Linked DNA regions of Rhinolophus ferrumequinum. The protein of the gene in region 1 interacts with the protein of each later gene in a pairwise test. Links are inferred from orthologs where the notes say so. Each region holds a gene or a part of one and is shown in the gene's direction. Other genes may lie near its edges.

Region 1 (7,030 bases):
TATAGTTTAAGGCCAGGTCTTATATTAAATTTTGCTCCAAAAGACACATTAGAGCTAATGGTCCGGCTAGGTCTCGTTTTCGGGAAACACGGTGTTTTTTGTGTGTCTGTGCACTCTATTTTCCCCACACAGTGATGTTATGTCTCAGCCACTTTGCACATCACTCCAATGCTGTAGTTCTTAGTCTCTACTTGATGTATTCATAAAATTCCATCTTTGTCTAGGGGCCCCTATTCCACTTTGCAAATATAGCAATAGATTAAAAGGGCAAAGGATTTTTAGACCCTTACCACAACCACACTTAAAGGTCTGATCAAATTCTCCAGGTTCCACTCTAGTAGGTACAGAATAGAAAGATTTCCAAAGCTTATGGTTAAAATTCAATTTGAAAATGAAGTGGACCCAGTAGCTTGGGAGAAAAGCTTAATACCCCCCTTACACTCCTACCCCCACTTCTGTTTTGCTTATTATTATAAAAGTAATATATGTTTATTTAGGAAAATGCAGGTTTATTTATTTAGGCAAAATGAGGAAAATAAAATCATCACTAATCAGAACAACTATGTTTACCATTTTTGAGCATATATGTTCAGTATTTTTTTCCTGTGCATATATATTTAAATAGATGTCAACACATATCATTCAGAAGCACTCTTTTAAACTTCTGGGTGTTTTTCTTTACTCATTGCACTGTGGCTCCTGCAGAGCACGTTTCTCTTATGAGCAGGAAACTACAAGCTAAAACTGGCTTTGGAGATTGATAGCTCTTTGTGTCAGTAGTTTGCATAATGAGATGTGCACACCAAGGAACCAAGGTTATGGGTGTGTTTTGAAATTAATACACTAATTGTGTTGAACACTGCTATACTGGAGTTCAGTTTATCCACTATGCACGCTGCTCCTGAAGTTCAAATTCCCTCAGCAGATATTCAGAAAGTATCTTACAAAACTGGTATAAATGAGGTTATGTCAGGGCCAGAATCTCTGTATGCATTTATTCCTCCATCTACTTAATTGCTGAAATGTCTGTGTTCCTTAAGTGTATTTTGATAAGGAGAAGATCTCACCAACATCCATCTAATGGTATGATACTGACGCATGCTGTGATGAGGTGATTTACTTTGTATGTAGCAACAAGCATATATTATAGGAAAGATACCTTCCTCATTCACAGGGAAGTCAGTTTGCTTCTGAGGGTTTGCAAAGTACTAGTCCTATATGTGCTCCCAGTAATGGTTAACAAACAAAAAGCAGCCAGGAGAAATCTTGATATTCAATACACACTGTTTTGGTTATCTATTGCTGTGAAACAAGCCACAGCAAAACTTAGTGCTTGAAAACTATTATAATCTCTCACACACAGTTCTTTATGTTCCCTAGGCTTAGCCAGGCAGGCTTCTGTGGGTCTCCTTAGAGTCTTTATATGTGGTTGCAGTCAGATAGCAGCTGGGGCTGCAGTCCTCTAGGGCTTGACTAGGTGGACTGGAAGGTCCAGAATGGTTTCTTCACTCACCCATCTGATGCCTTGGTTCATATAGCCTCTCTCTCTGCTTGGAGTCTCATCCCCCAGTGCTTTTCCCCATGGCTTCTCTCCCCATGAACATAGTCAGACTTCTTATGTGATGGCTGACTTCTAAGAGTATAAAATTAAGGAGACCTGACAGTGTGTCATTTCCAGCCTCCTTCCATAAGTTAAAGCAAATCAGAGGGCCAGCCTTGATTCAGTGTCAGGAGATTACATCGGTATCAGAAGGCTGATTCCTTAGGTGCCATCTTTAAAAACCAGCTACTTGAAATGCTCCAACTGTAAGTTGAACAAATTTACAATTTCAGCTATAATTCCAATAGAATCTCGGTATTTCCTAGCTCAAACATGGATTACAATTAAGGAGAAGTGAAAAGAAGAGTGAAGAAAACTCAAGATGGGGAAGGATTTTGAAACAGTAGGTACTTTCTTGGGCCTTACAAAGTTGGCAGCTTAGATCAAGGAAAAGAAAGTGAAATAAATTGGTCATTGCATTACCATTATCCAAACTGTGGGCTCAGAAGGCTTACTTGATGATGCTTAATTTTTATGAGAACTCTAGAGCAAAGTATTGCAATATTGACACATTTCAAGCATATACGGAGGGTTGTCTTTCCAAAGACATCAAAGAATTCAGACATCAATGTACAAGGATCAGTAGAATGTGAAACCAATTGAGGGGAAAAAATAAAGCAGTAGCTAGGAGAGCCTGGCAGTAAAAAGGGCTCCCATGGCACCAGGACAGGAGAGAAAAACCAGCATCATCTTTCCAGTTCTTCTGGAGCTTCTCAACATGTTGAATCTGTGCACCCACAGCACAATATATAAGTTTGGAAGGCAAGGCCTAACATAAAGACAATCTTGTTTCAATGTCTGCAAAGACTGGGAAACTGCTTTATGTGGCGGCTATGAGACTGGGGTTCCCTTTTCTTACGCCAAATAGCTTTTCCCTAGTGTTTATTTTTCTTAAACATGTTCAGACTCTTATCATATTGTTCTACTCCCTTTGAAAATATGTACTCTGCAGGTGCCTAAAATAATATACTCCCAGCAATTTCACTTCTGTAAAAGTAAAGGTTATTTCATTGAGTCTAAACTCAATGGCAATTTGTTGCTCAAGGAGGAAATACCAAACACTTTACAAACTCCTTGAGGGCAGCAGCCATGTTATATATGCCTTTGTTATCTCCTACCTCCTCGGCTCATTGTCTACCTTCTCCAATGTAGTAGTTTCAATACGTAACTCCAATTGTTAACAATATACTTTGCCCTTCTTTGATGCAGAAATGTCATTTCATTATATCTCTGCCTGTTTCATGTCAGGTTCATTGTAAATAATTTCTCCTGTTTGTTTTCAGTGTGCAGATTATTTTGCAGGCTTTTCACATAGCAGCTAAAAAGGTTTAATTCAAGTTGAAGAAACTTGCTTCCATTACAAGCAATTAATGTAGGCTTCACTTACCCCAAGGACTATTTGAACATATAAATTTACAGATAAATCCTGGGAGTGTCAAATTATGCAACCATGAGAAAGTAAGTTCTTTGGGCGTTGATCTGCTATAGCCAAGGGGCTGTGTGTGTGGTTTTTGAATGAAATAGTAAAACCACTGCTGGCATCACTGCTGGCATCACACCTGGTTTTGCATAATTCCAAGAAGCTAAAATCTGAAAACCAGTATTGTGAAAGAGTTATGTTAATGCGTAAGAGAAAATAATTTATCAATTCTTTTTTAAATCTTGTAAGATTTCACAGTATTCCTGTTTTCAAGAACCTGAAGTTTTCTGTGGGTAGTGATTGATTTTTAAGTAATTGTTTTTCATGTAAAACGTTAATACATTGTAAATTGAAAACATTTAAAATAACAAAGATAAAAATCATTCATGAGCCTACAACTACTACTATTTGGTGGACAACTTGGAATTCTTTTTCTAGGCACATGTTTTTACAACAGTGATCCATACTATACAAACTACTTTATAACTTTGTTTTATTTTTAAATTCATCGTGAGTACCTGAAAAGAAACTTGTCAAGATTATGGCATGTCCTAGTACTGCACAGTGTTAAAGGACGCCATCTGTGCTATCGTGTGTGTGCGTTGGTGGGAAAATGAAGCTGTTGTTGCCTCCTCTCCAACCAAAAGAGACTTCTTCGTTTGCCCTTGGCGTCCTGAGCTTAGCGAGAATGCAGGCGCGTGGGAGTAAGTGGAGGGCGTTCAGGGTGACCGCGAGCACGAGCTCCCCGCGCGGTCCACACTTCCCCTGGGCAAGTCCCGGATGGGACCGAGGGCGAGAGGGCAGCTCACGGTGCTCGGGGCCGGGTCCAAGCCTTTAGCCCCCGTCCCCCGGGCTGGCGCCACTCTCGGGCGGTGGGGTGAGATAAAGCGGGGCAAGGTTCTGCAACTCCAAATCAGGGCGGCGCAGCTCCGATACCAGCGCCTTTGCCGGGGCTCTAGGAGTGTTTGTTCCAACTGTTTAAACTGTCTCAAAGCGCCCGAACCCGAGCGACCTTCGGCAAACAACTGCTAATCTCGCGGGCGGAGAGTGTTGGCTTTATGTGCGGATAGGGTACATCGAGCGCGGGGACCCGGGAGCTAAAGCAGCCCTCCTCCCGGCACCACCCCCCCCCGCAGCCGCCCACTGGGACCCCCGCTCACGGCCCTTTCCCGCCCCAGGACCGCGAGCTTCTTGCGTCAGCCGGGGCGGGGGTGGGGGATTTTCGGCACCTCCTCCCGCGGCCAGTCAGGGAAGGAAAGGCCCGGGCTCTTGCCCCGCCTTCGGGGGGCGGGAGGCGTGTCGGGGCAGGAGCCCGGCCGGCTGTTCGGGCCGTGTCGGCGAGAAGCGAGTGCCCGAGAGCCCGCCGTCGCCGCAGCCGCTGCCGCTGTCAGTGCCGCCTGGTCCGCAGCGCGTCTCGGCAGCCAGGACAGGGCCGCCGCCGTCGGGGAGCCCCAGAGCACAGTCCCTAACTCAGCATGATGGACTTGGAGCTGCCGCCGCCAGGACTGCCGTCCCAGCAGGTGCTGCCCGGCCCTCAGGGCCCCGCTGTGGTACCAGGACGGGGCCAGGGGCGCGAGGGAGCCGCGGCCCGGCACGGACAGCCACAGCCGGCTTCTCCTCCCGTCTGTGGCCGGAGCCTGGAGTGCAGCGGCCGCGCACTGGAGTCGCTGCGCTTGCGCCGGGGCGGGGTGGGGCGGGGATCGGGAGCGGGGACCCAAGGGGCGGTGAGGGGAGTAGGGGCGCAACGGGGTGGTCAGACCGACAACTTGACTGCGGCCTCAGAAGGCGACTGGCTGGGGCTTGGGATTACGCCCGCGTGCGTGCGTGGGTGAACGGGAATCTCTAGCTGCGTCCCCGGCCACCAGGTTGGGACCCAGGAGCCCCATTAGGCCCCCCGAGTTTGAGCGGCCCCAGAGGCTGCAGGGTAGGAGGGGGCGGACGCTGGCGGTCTGAGCCGGCGCGGCCCGGCCCTTCCGGGGCCGCGCGTCTCCCCCGCCTTGGAGCCGGCAAAAATGTGCCTAGTCACGGGGCCACTCTCGGGGGAGCTGAGGTCCCCTCCGGGCTGGGACCCGGAACCCCTCCTCTGCCGCCGCTGACCCCGGCCCCACAACCTGCGCGGTCTGCGGCACTGCGTGCTCATCCTGCTGGGCCGTCTAAGGGTGTTCCTTTGCAAAATAATCTGTCTGTTCGTCGGATCACTCTCTGAGGCAGTTTGGCGAGAAAGCCCTGCCCCTAGGTGGGGGACGGAGGAGGTCCCCAAGTGCCCGGAGCGCTCGAATGCCCCGACGTGCGGCGGCCGAAGTGGGCCTCGCGCAGTTGGAAAGGTTCAGGCTCTGAGAACCCGGGATCCCCTCTCAACGCGCAGGGAAGAGTGGGTGGGGCTGAGGACCGCAACCGGACTTGTCGATTCCCGCGGGATTCCTCCCCGTGGCGCGCGCCGCGTGCGTGGCCTTGGCCTCGGTGACAGTGGCTGGTTGGTTGTCACGGCGGCCCTTGGTTGGCCCTTTCCTGCTTTATAGCGTGCAAACCTTGCCGCGCCGAGGCCAAGGGACAAGTTGGAGCTGTTGATCTGTTGCGCAATTGTTATTTTTCCCCAGGGCGGCTTTGTCTTTGGATTTAGCATTTCAGAATTGCAATTCCAAAATGTGTAAGGCAGGATATTGTGTTTTGTGCTGTCAACGGTAAGTGTAGCGAGTGTACATTAGAATTGTTATTGCTTTTAGGCTGTTACTAAGTTTTTGGCTTTCATGTATTATTTCTCCTTTGGATGCTATGTATAATTTTCCTTTTCTGTTGAGAATTTGCCTCGATTTCTTAGCATGTTGCTTCTCTTGCAAGGGCAGAGAGAGGGTGAAACACCTGTGTTACATAATACTGTGCTATAAAGTTCTTTAAATTGTTGTAAAAGTGAAAATTTTCTATTCATACTTTGTAGGGACTTTTAAAGGAGTAGATATTTATATTTCCAATGTTTTGGTAATTGGGTTCTGAGGAAAAAATATTTGGTTCAAGGAAATGTATAACTTAATAAGTACAGTAAATATGTTTATGCTCATAAACCTAATGTTTTAGACTGATCCTGAAGATGTAAAATAAGGTTTTACGTCATTAGCAATGTATTAATTATGCTGCTTTTTTTTTGAAGCTGTTTACAGTCTTGAACTTTCCCCCAGTAATAATAGGGAATGTATTCCCCTGGTTTCCACCAGTATGAAGAAGTGTGCTTTTGGATTTACGAGCTGTTCAAGAGTAATCTATATAGCCATCTATATGACAAAAGGATATAAAATGCTAGTGACCTTTAGCTTTCCTAAATTCAGGAATTGTAACCTGAAGCTCTTCATTATTTTGTTTTTCCTTTTTCTTTTTTTACTATGTAATTTAACATTTCATATGCAGAAGTGCATAAGGCATATACACTGCTTTCTCATTTAAATGGGAATTTTTTCAGTTTTGTTTGGTAAGGTAACTCCTTTTCTGTCTTTGTAATCAGACATCAATAGTATACATTTGAAGACTATGGAAAAAGAAAATGGAGTAAAATTTAGAATTAATTTCATGCCTGTGATTCATATTAAATCATTGTTTGTAGTCTAGAAAGAGTTGAACAAAGAGTGGATTCTGTACTTTGGTCAGAGAAACTCCAGGTGTGATGTGGTACTAAGATCCTGGTTTTTACCTCTGTACAGAGAAGGTGTTCATGAACAGGTCAGTAAGGAGAGCCTTAGATTCTTTCTCCAACAGGTGGAAGGAACCATTAACTCTTTTCAAGGGTGTCTTGGAGAGATAAAGTACTTTGTGTATAAGAGATGAAGTTGATCTTGGACTACACAGATAAGATTATTTTTAAAAAGAAAAATGCAACAGATCTCTCATCTCCTGAATGACTATTAACCAAAGACCAACTTGACTTTTTGGATGTGAAAAATTTCTTGAGATTGTGGAAGCAACATATAGGAGGGTAAATACACAATTCACATCCGTCTTTCTGCATTAAAAAATAACTTAGG
Region 2 (7,007 bases), on another chromosome or scaffold:
GGCTCTGCTGGTCAGTGTTTCTTCTGACCCTCTGGTGGGGGCCACTCCTTGCTAGGCGAGAGGCTGGTGCACGGGGATGGATGGGTGGAAAGTCAGTGGGTGCCGCAGTGGCTGGGGCTGGGGCAGTGCCCTGTGGAGGGGGCTGGGTGCCCCCACAGCCGTCAGCCTATCTTCTCTGGCTGCAGGGGGCTGCCAAGATGCTACTGGACTCAGAACAGCACCCAGGCCAGCTCAAGGACAATGTCTGCTCTCCTGGAGGGGCCACCATCCACGCCCTGCACGTGCTGGAGAGTGGGGGTTTCCGCTCCCTGCTCATCAACGCTGTGGAGGCCTCCTGCATCCGTACACGGTGGGTTCCTGCTGCTGCCAGCCCCCGGGCCTCCCGCCCAGTGCACCAGAGCCCTCAGCCTCACTCGTCTCCTCAGTCATCCACGCAGTGGATGTTTATCGAGCTCGGGCCTGACTGTGGGCAGGGCACAGGGAGCCCCGAGGTTCCCTGGCATATGGTTTGCAGTGCCCATCGTCCTGCCGGGAGGGGCAGCCCTCTGGGTGCTCACTCTGCTCCCCACGTGGTTTCATCACCGGTGGCCGTCAGACTGGGGTGATCATCCAAGCTGGGGAGGTGGGCCCAGGGGAACCAGAAGGAACCTCTGTGGGCCTGACAATAATACCTTTGTCCCAGCCTGGCTGGGGAGGTTAAGCAAGTTAGACAAGCAGGACGCGGTGCAGTGTGCTCCATGAGAGCAGCCAGAAAAACGAAAGAGCACAGACAGACACAGTTTGGTGTCTCAGCTCGGAGTTACTGTCCCTTATTCAGGTCTGAGGATGGACGGGCATCTTTCTCAGCCCCCGCCTGCCCTCCAGTCTAACCCCCCAGGCTTCTCCGAGTGCCACCACATGACAACAAGGCCAGAACACAGTGCTGCCCTGCTGGCCCCAACCCACAGGGGAGACAGACGAGGCACATATCCTGTGCTCAGGACAGTGAGGGCTCAGAGTCTGGGGGCCTGACACTAGATTTGGTGACTGAGCCGATTTGAATGAGGTGAGAGGGAGGCAGATAGCAGTCTAGGGGAGGGTAGCTGGCAGAGGGAACTGCAGGTGCAAGGGCCCTGAAGGGGGTGTGACAGCACTGCAGCACCCTGGGCTGGCAGGTGCCGGGAGCTGTGGGCCTTGACCCCTCTTCCCTCATGGGCACATGGGCTCAGGAAGGAGGCAGAGCCCTGGACCCAACCCTCACTGCCTCCCTAGGGAGCTGCAATCCATGGCTGACCGCGAGAAGGTCTCGCCAGCTGCCATCAAGAAGACTGTCCTGGACAAGGTGAAGCTCGACTCCCCTCCGAGGGCCCTGCTGGCTCCTTCTGGCCACGCCAAGCTGCTTCCCCGAAGCATGGCCCCGACCGGCAAGAAAGACTGAAGTGTCTCACCTGCCTGTCAGGCTGCCCGCCACCTTCTCTCTCCTGGCTCAGAGCTCCTGTGCTGGGTGTCTAGCCCCACGCCACATAGGGTGGCCCACTGCCCACGACTTTGGTCACCTGGGGTCAGCCAGCGTCATAGCCAGGGAGGGGCCACATCACTAGCCAATGGGAATCTCCACAGTCCCCTAATGCTTCCTGACCCAGAACAGGGATGGACTCTGACCTCAAACCTGCACTTCCTCTGCCCCAAACCAAATCAGGACCACCTTTCAGGAGCTCAGGAAGCGGGGTTTGGGGGCTTCACCTTTCAGCGTTAGCTGGTTTGAGGCTTGGCCTGAGCACAAAGGTCGAGGTTCCCCCTGGCCCCTGTGAAGGTCTAGCGAAAGGGGGGAGTCCCGCCCCACATCTGCTACTTCCCTAACCTCCACTCATGGTGGGGGCGGGGGGAACACCTCCTTCCTCAGTGTGGGAAGCACCAGAGGATCCCAGGCATTCTGAGTCCAATGGGAGGGACCACAGTTCTAGGCCAGCTCATCACCCCTCATCCCCATTTGACATTTGAGAAAAGGGCTCCTCAGACAGTTGGATTTCCAAGGCCACCAGCACTCTCAGGCCACTGTCCCCCATTCCTGACCTGAACCACAGACACTGTCACTTCTCTCCCTGGCCTTTTAGGTTAAATAAATTGGTTTCCAGCCCAGTGCCCTAACTTCTGACTTTGTCAGCATGTGTGGAGGGTGGCCTCCAGCTGCCACAGGGGGTCATTGCTGTTGGGTGTAATAGTAAAGGCTAAGCCAGTAGTCCCCGGGCCCCAGAGCCCTTAGTTCCAAGGTAGCTAGGCTGCCAGGGTTGGAGTCTCCCCGTGAGCAGAGGGGAGGGAGCCTCTAGAGAAGGGGATAGCTCCTCAAGCCCCAGTCGCTAGAAGTGTCTGGGAAGCTGGCACCATAGGCTGGGCTTGCTCTGCTCCCCACTGTGGGGGGAGCACCAGCCTCTGCATCCTTCACATCTCCGGGCTTAGTGGGGGCATATGTCGCCCCCACTCACCCAGGCAGAGGCAGTTGGAGCAGGAGGGCCGTAGAGAGCTAGATTAGGGTTCTCCAGAGAAACAGAACCAGTAGGACACGGAGATAGATAGTAAGTTACATATAAGAAAGATTTAGCCACAACTATGGAGGCTGGCAAGTCCAGTCTGCAGGGTGGGGCGTCAGGCTGGAGACCCAGGTAGCCGACATTCCAACTCAAAGGACAACAGGCCGAGAGAGCACCAGGCAGGTGGCGTCTAAAGGCAGGGAACTTCTCACAGCAGGGAGGCTTGGTCCTTTCGTCCCATTTGGGCCTTCAACTGGTCGGATGAGGCCCATTCACATTCCAGAAGTTAATCTGTTAACATCTACCGACTTAGATGCCGATCTCATGCCAAAACACCCTCACTGAAACAGCCAGAATAATATTTGACCAAATATCTGGTCACCGTGTCCCAGTCAATTTGACACAAAATTAACCATCGCAAGATCAGAGGAGTGACGGAGAGGACACTTGATGGAGCCAGAGTGCTTGCATTTGACATCAAAAAGTAGTCACAGAGCGTGAAGATAGTAAGAGGAGGCCCCTTGCCTCAGAGGTTGACACCACTTACACCCACCCCTGCTCTGGTGGGTTAGGGGACCTGGTCTGGGCAGCTAGGATGTGCCAGGGGCGCTCAGAACAAGAGGTGGGGTCCCCCAAAGGGCAGGAGGGTGGTGGGGATCAGGAGAGCTCCTGAGCGGGGGTTTTCAAGGAACAGCATTGGCAGTATCTCATCTCCAGTTCTCCCCTCCCCCTGGGCCCACTCAGAACCAAGACCCCGTGCACGCAGGTGGGCAGAGGAGACACTTTGGGGAGCCCTCCAAACGTAAAGGGAGACAGGAGACACAGAAGAAAATGCACAACAGAAAAAACCAGGGCCAGGGCTGCGTTCCCGCGTCTGCCAGGGTGGCCCCGACAGGCCTGGTCACTCCCCACGTACCCACTACTGCGGCCAGTGCTGGGCCTGGAGTCCATGCAGGGCCCGCCTAAGGAGTGAGTCCCCGGCAGAGACCCCCACCCTGGGCAGGTAGAAGCGGGCCTCTTGGACACATGGACTTTGAAAGTATCAGCACACAAGGGTCAGGAAAGCGGCCGAACCGGTCACAAGGCCCCACCTTGAAGGCCGGTGGGGGCGTGGCCGCCGGGGAGGGCGCGCCCGAGCCAGTCCCGCGAGACCCCGCCCGGGCAGGGGGCGGTGCGCGTTGCCGGGGCGACGGCGCCCGGGCACGCAGGCGCAGTCTGAGCGCGCTCCGCCTCCGCCGCCGCCGCCGCCGTCGCGCCTTCCCCTTTAAGCCCCGGCGGGTCGCGTCGCCGCTTCATGAATGGAGCCCACGTGACCAAACATCATGTGACGTCTGTGGAGCGGCGGCGGCGGCGGCGGCGGCGGCGGCGGATACCGAGCCTGGTCCGGCCCAGCCTTCCCAGCGCGCACGGCCCGGCCCGCGCAGGCGGCGAGCCCCCACCCCGGGCCCGGAGCCCCCGCGCGGCCCAGCCCCGCGCGGCCTCGGAGCGCCCGCCGCCCCTCGCCCCGGCCTCGGCCCGCCCGGGCCCGCAGTGTGGTGGGTGAGTGCGGCGCGGGCCGGGCGCTCCTGGGTTCGGGTCTGCCCCGCGCGCCGCTGGCGGCCCGTGCCTCGATTTCCCCATCGGGCAGGGCACTGCTGGCCCCCGCGCCCAGGTTCTGGGGGTGGGCCGCGGGGCGGCGAAGAGCGGGCGGGGCGTGCGCGGGGCTCGCTCAGTGGAGGGAGGGGCGGCCGGGGCGGCGGGAGGAAAGGGTGGGGTCGAACTGGGCGCCCAGGGCTCCGCGGAGGAGCCCGGCGGCCCGGGCCTGAGCTGCTGATTCATCAGGTGTGTGTCGCCGCCTCCCCAGGTGCAGGGGTCCTTGGCGGGCCCCGGGAGGGCTGGCGTGGGGGCGCTGGGAAGACCCAGCTCGCGTCGCTTTCGCTCCGTCACACGCGGGCCAGAGCCCCGAGGGAGACTTGCTGAGTCATCAGCATGAGGTCACTGGATGCTCATCCCGGTGCCCGGGGGATCTGAGCTAGGGGCCTGGGGCCTGAAAGGCGGGGAAACGAGGGGTGGAAGGGAACCGTGGGGACGTGGAGAAGGAGCCGGGCCCAGGGGCTGGGGCGGCTTTTTAAGTTTGGACTGAGGTGCGAGTTGAAGGCAGGGTGGTGAGGAGGAACTGGAGGGGCCACGGCGCGGTAGAAGGTGAAGCCCCTGGCCTGTCCATCCCTCCCAGGCATGCTCTTCTCCAGCGGCTGGTTCCCGACCCAAGGCTGGGACAGTTCTCCTAACCGGGAAATAGTTCTCTGAGTGAGAGGAGGGGAGGAGCTTAGGGGGGCCGTGCTAGGGGGCGGGAAACAGGCTTTCCCTGCGACTGGTCTGGTCCGCCAGTCTGGGTGCCCCTGGGCAGGGAAGAGAGGGGTACACAGGCCAGAGAGGGAGGCAGTGGGGCCTCCTGGAAGGAGGGGCAACGGGTAGGGGGGAGGAAAGGGTGGGGTTGAGCCAGGAGCCAGGGCTCCCCCAGTGAGCCCAGCGTAGCACAGCCTGTACTGGAGTCCCGGGGTGAAAGTGGACAGGGAAGGGGGCAAGCAGGCGCAGCGCTCCCAGGAGACTGCACATGAGAGGGAGCCGCACGACGTGGGCACTGGGGATCAAGGTGTCTGGTGAGCAGGCCCTGCCCCTCTTTGCAGCCCAGCCTTGGAGTCTGGGTTGAGGCTCTGGGTGGTGGTAGCGTGGTGGGTGCCTAGCCTGCAGAGCACAGCAGGTGGGCTGGGGTTTAAGAGTGCAGTTCCCAGTCACCGCTAGCTGTCTCACTTGAGGTTGGGGCCCAGTGTTGTGCAGGTTAGCGGAGAACGCGGCCCTGATGGGTTTTGGGCCAGGTGATGGCGACTGTTGGGAAGTGACCACTTGAGGGTCGTGTGGCCTGGGCCACCTCTCCTGGGTGTGTGGGTGATTGCTGGCTCGAGGGGTAGGGCAGTGTTTCGTCTAGACCAGAGCTGACCCTTCTTGCCTTGGGTTCATGGCCAGGCTAGGCTGGCCTTGTGGTTTGTTCTCCGAGTCACACGCACACACAGTCAGCCCTGCCTGGGCTTAGAGATGCCAGCTGTTTTAACTCTTCAGCTGATCTTTTGCCTGGAATTTTATACCCTAGGAAAGGGCAGATTTCTGGAGGGGTGTTGCATTAAGTCTTCTCAGTACATTAGGCTTCGGTGGAAGTTAAGTATTAGACTTTTTTCAGAGTGACTTTTAGTGGCTGGGGGCTTCTGGAGGAGGTGGTCTGATAGGCAGGGTGGGAGTGAGGCCCGGCTAGGTCAGGGTGCCAGAGTGCCCAAGGCCATGCCTGCCTGGAAGGTTTGGCCACTGGGGTTTGCAGGCCAGGACAAAGAGCAGAGGCTGGCTGTCTTGCCTCCTGCCTCGTGTCCATGCCTTGGAGTATGGGCCCAGGGGAAGGGGCTGGAGCTGCCCAGACCTCCTGCCCCTTCCTGACTGGCTCCCGGCCTGAGTGGATGGTCCAGGGTACCTTGGTGGATGCGGGCCGTTTGGGCCTTCTCCACAAGGTGGACTCAGCCTATGGGGGAGCTGAGGAAGGAGGATGACCGAGCCCCAGCTCTGGTCCAGCCTTTGGGGTGGGGAGGAGAGTTGTGGGGGGGCAGTTTCTTGATTTGGCCTCTAGGATCCCCTCCGCCTGGCTTCTAGGGGTGCCCTGAGCCATCATTCCCATGCCACCCCATCTCCAAAGCTGTGTCTGTCCCATCAGTGTGTGTCTACTGGGCGAGGCCAGGCCAGGAGGCTGGAAGCACTGGCTTTCCTGAGACCTGCTGCCCCTTCCCCCCTGCTCACACACACCTTTGATTAGGAGGCAATTGGCTGCACTGTGCTGAGTTCAGGCCTTCTGCGGAGGCTGAAATCTGTTGAGGAAGCACTTTTCTGTGTGATCTCTTCAGGAAGTCACCGCTGTGCTCAGCAGTCAGGGGTGGAGGGAGCATGGGGGTGGGAAAAGCTGGTGCTGGGGCTTTTCCTTTGGGCCGACAGTGGTAGGACACAGAACAGGGCCCCTACACCCCAGCTTGTGCACTGCCGAGAGGGCCTGGCCCAGGCTGGGCATGGGGCCCTGAGGACCTCCTCACCTCCAGCTGTGGTCTGCTCAGCCTCCTCTCTGGAAGAACTGGGCTCCCAGGGCTGCCTGAGTCCCTGGGCGGCCTGGCTGTGGGGAGACGCCTGTGGCCTCCTTCCTGCAGCCTTGCTTCCTGATGCAAGGCTGGGTAGGTGCAGTCCACCCTGGAGCCCACTCGTGCCTCTACCTCCCCAGCCCACACTAGCTCCAGTGAGGGTAAGAAGGCGACCTGGCCCAGAGTTACCTGAAGTGCTCCTCCAGGAGGGAGAACGCAGTCTGTCTTAGCCCTGCATCCAACCTGGAAAGTGGGGGGCACGGTATGGCGGCAGCTATTGTAGCCAGGATCCCAGGACTAGGAGTACAAAAATGTTTTTGGTGGGGTTTCAGGAAGCAGAAAGTGAGGGTGGGGT

Evidence for each region. The genes of interacting proteins can lie anywhere in the genome.
Region 2: the proteins of NFE2L2 (region 1) and MAFG interact in binary tests that used the Homo sapiens proteins (3 or more experiments, as listed by UniProt). The link is inferred for Rhinolophus ferrumequinum from reciprocal best matches to the Homo sapiens genes NFE2L2 and MAFG.

What each region holds. Positions count from the first base shown.
Region 1 is NC_046291.1:48,398,324-48,405,353, forward strand, and holds the start of NFE2L2 (nuclear factor erythroid 2-related factor 2), read left to right. Parts: upstream 1-3,935; 5' UTR 3,936-4,495; coding exon 4,496-4,540; intron 4,541-4,862; exon of another isoform or gene 4,863-4,885; intron 4,886-5,108; exon of another isoform or gene 5,109-5,701; intron 5,702-7,030.
Region 2 is NC_046304.1:54,701,845-54,708,851, reverse strand, and holds the start of MAFG (transcription factor MafG), read left to right. Parts: upstream 1-3,992; 5' UTR 3,993-4,046; intron 4,047-4,242; exon of another isoform or gene 4,243-4,328; intron 4,329-4,978; exon of another isoform or gene 4,979-5,146; intron 5,147-6,502; exon of another isoform or gene 6,503-6,813; intron 6,814-7,007. Other genes in the region: PYCR1 (pyrroline-5-carboxylate reductase 1, mitochondrial), read left to right, coding at 1-10, 186-349, 1,252-1,417. UniProt on the Homo sapiens protein: Since they lack a putative transactivation domain, the small Mafs behave as transcriptional repressors when they dimerize among themselves.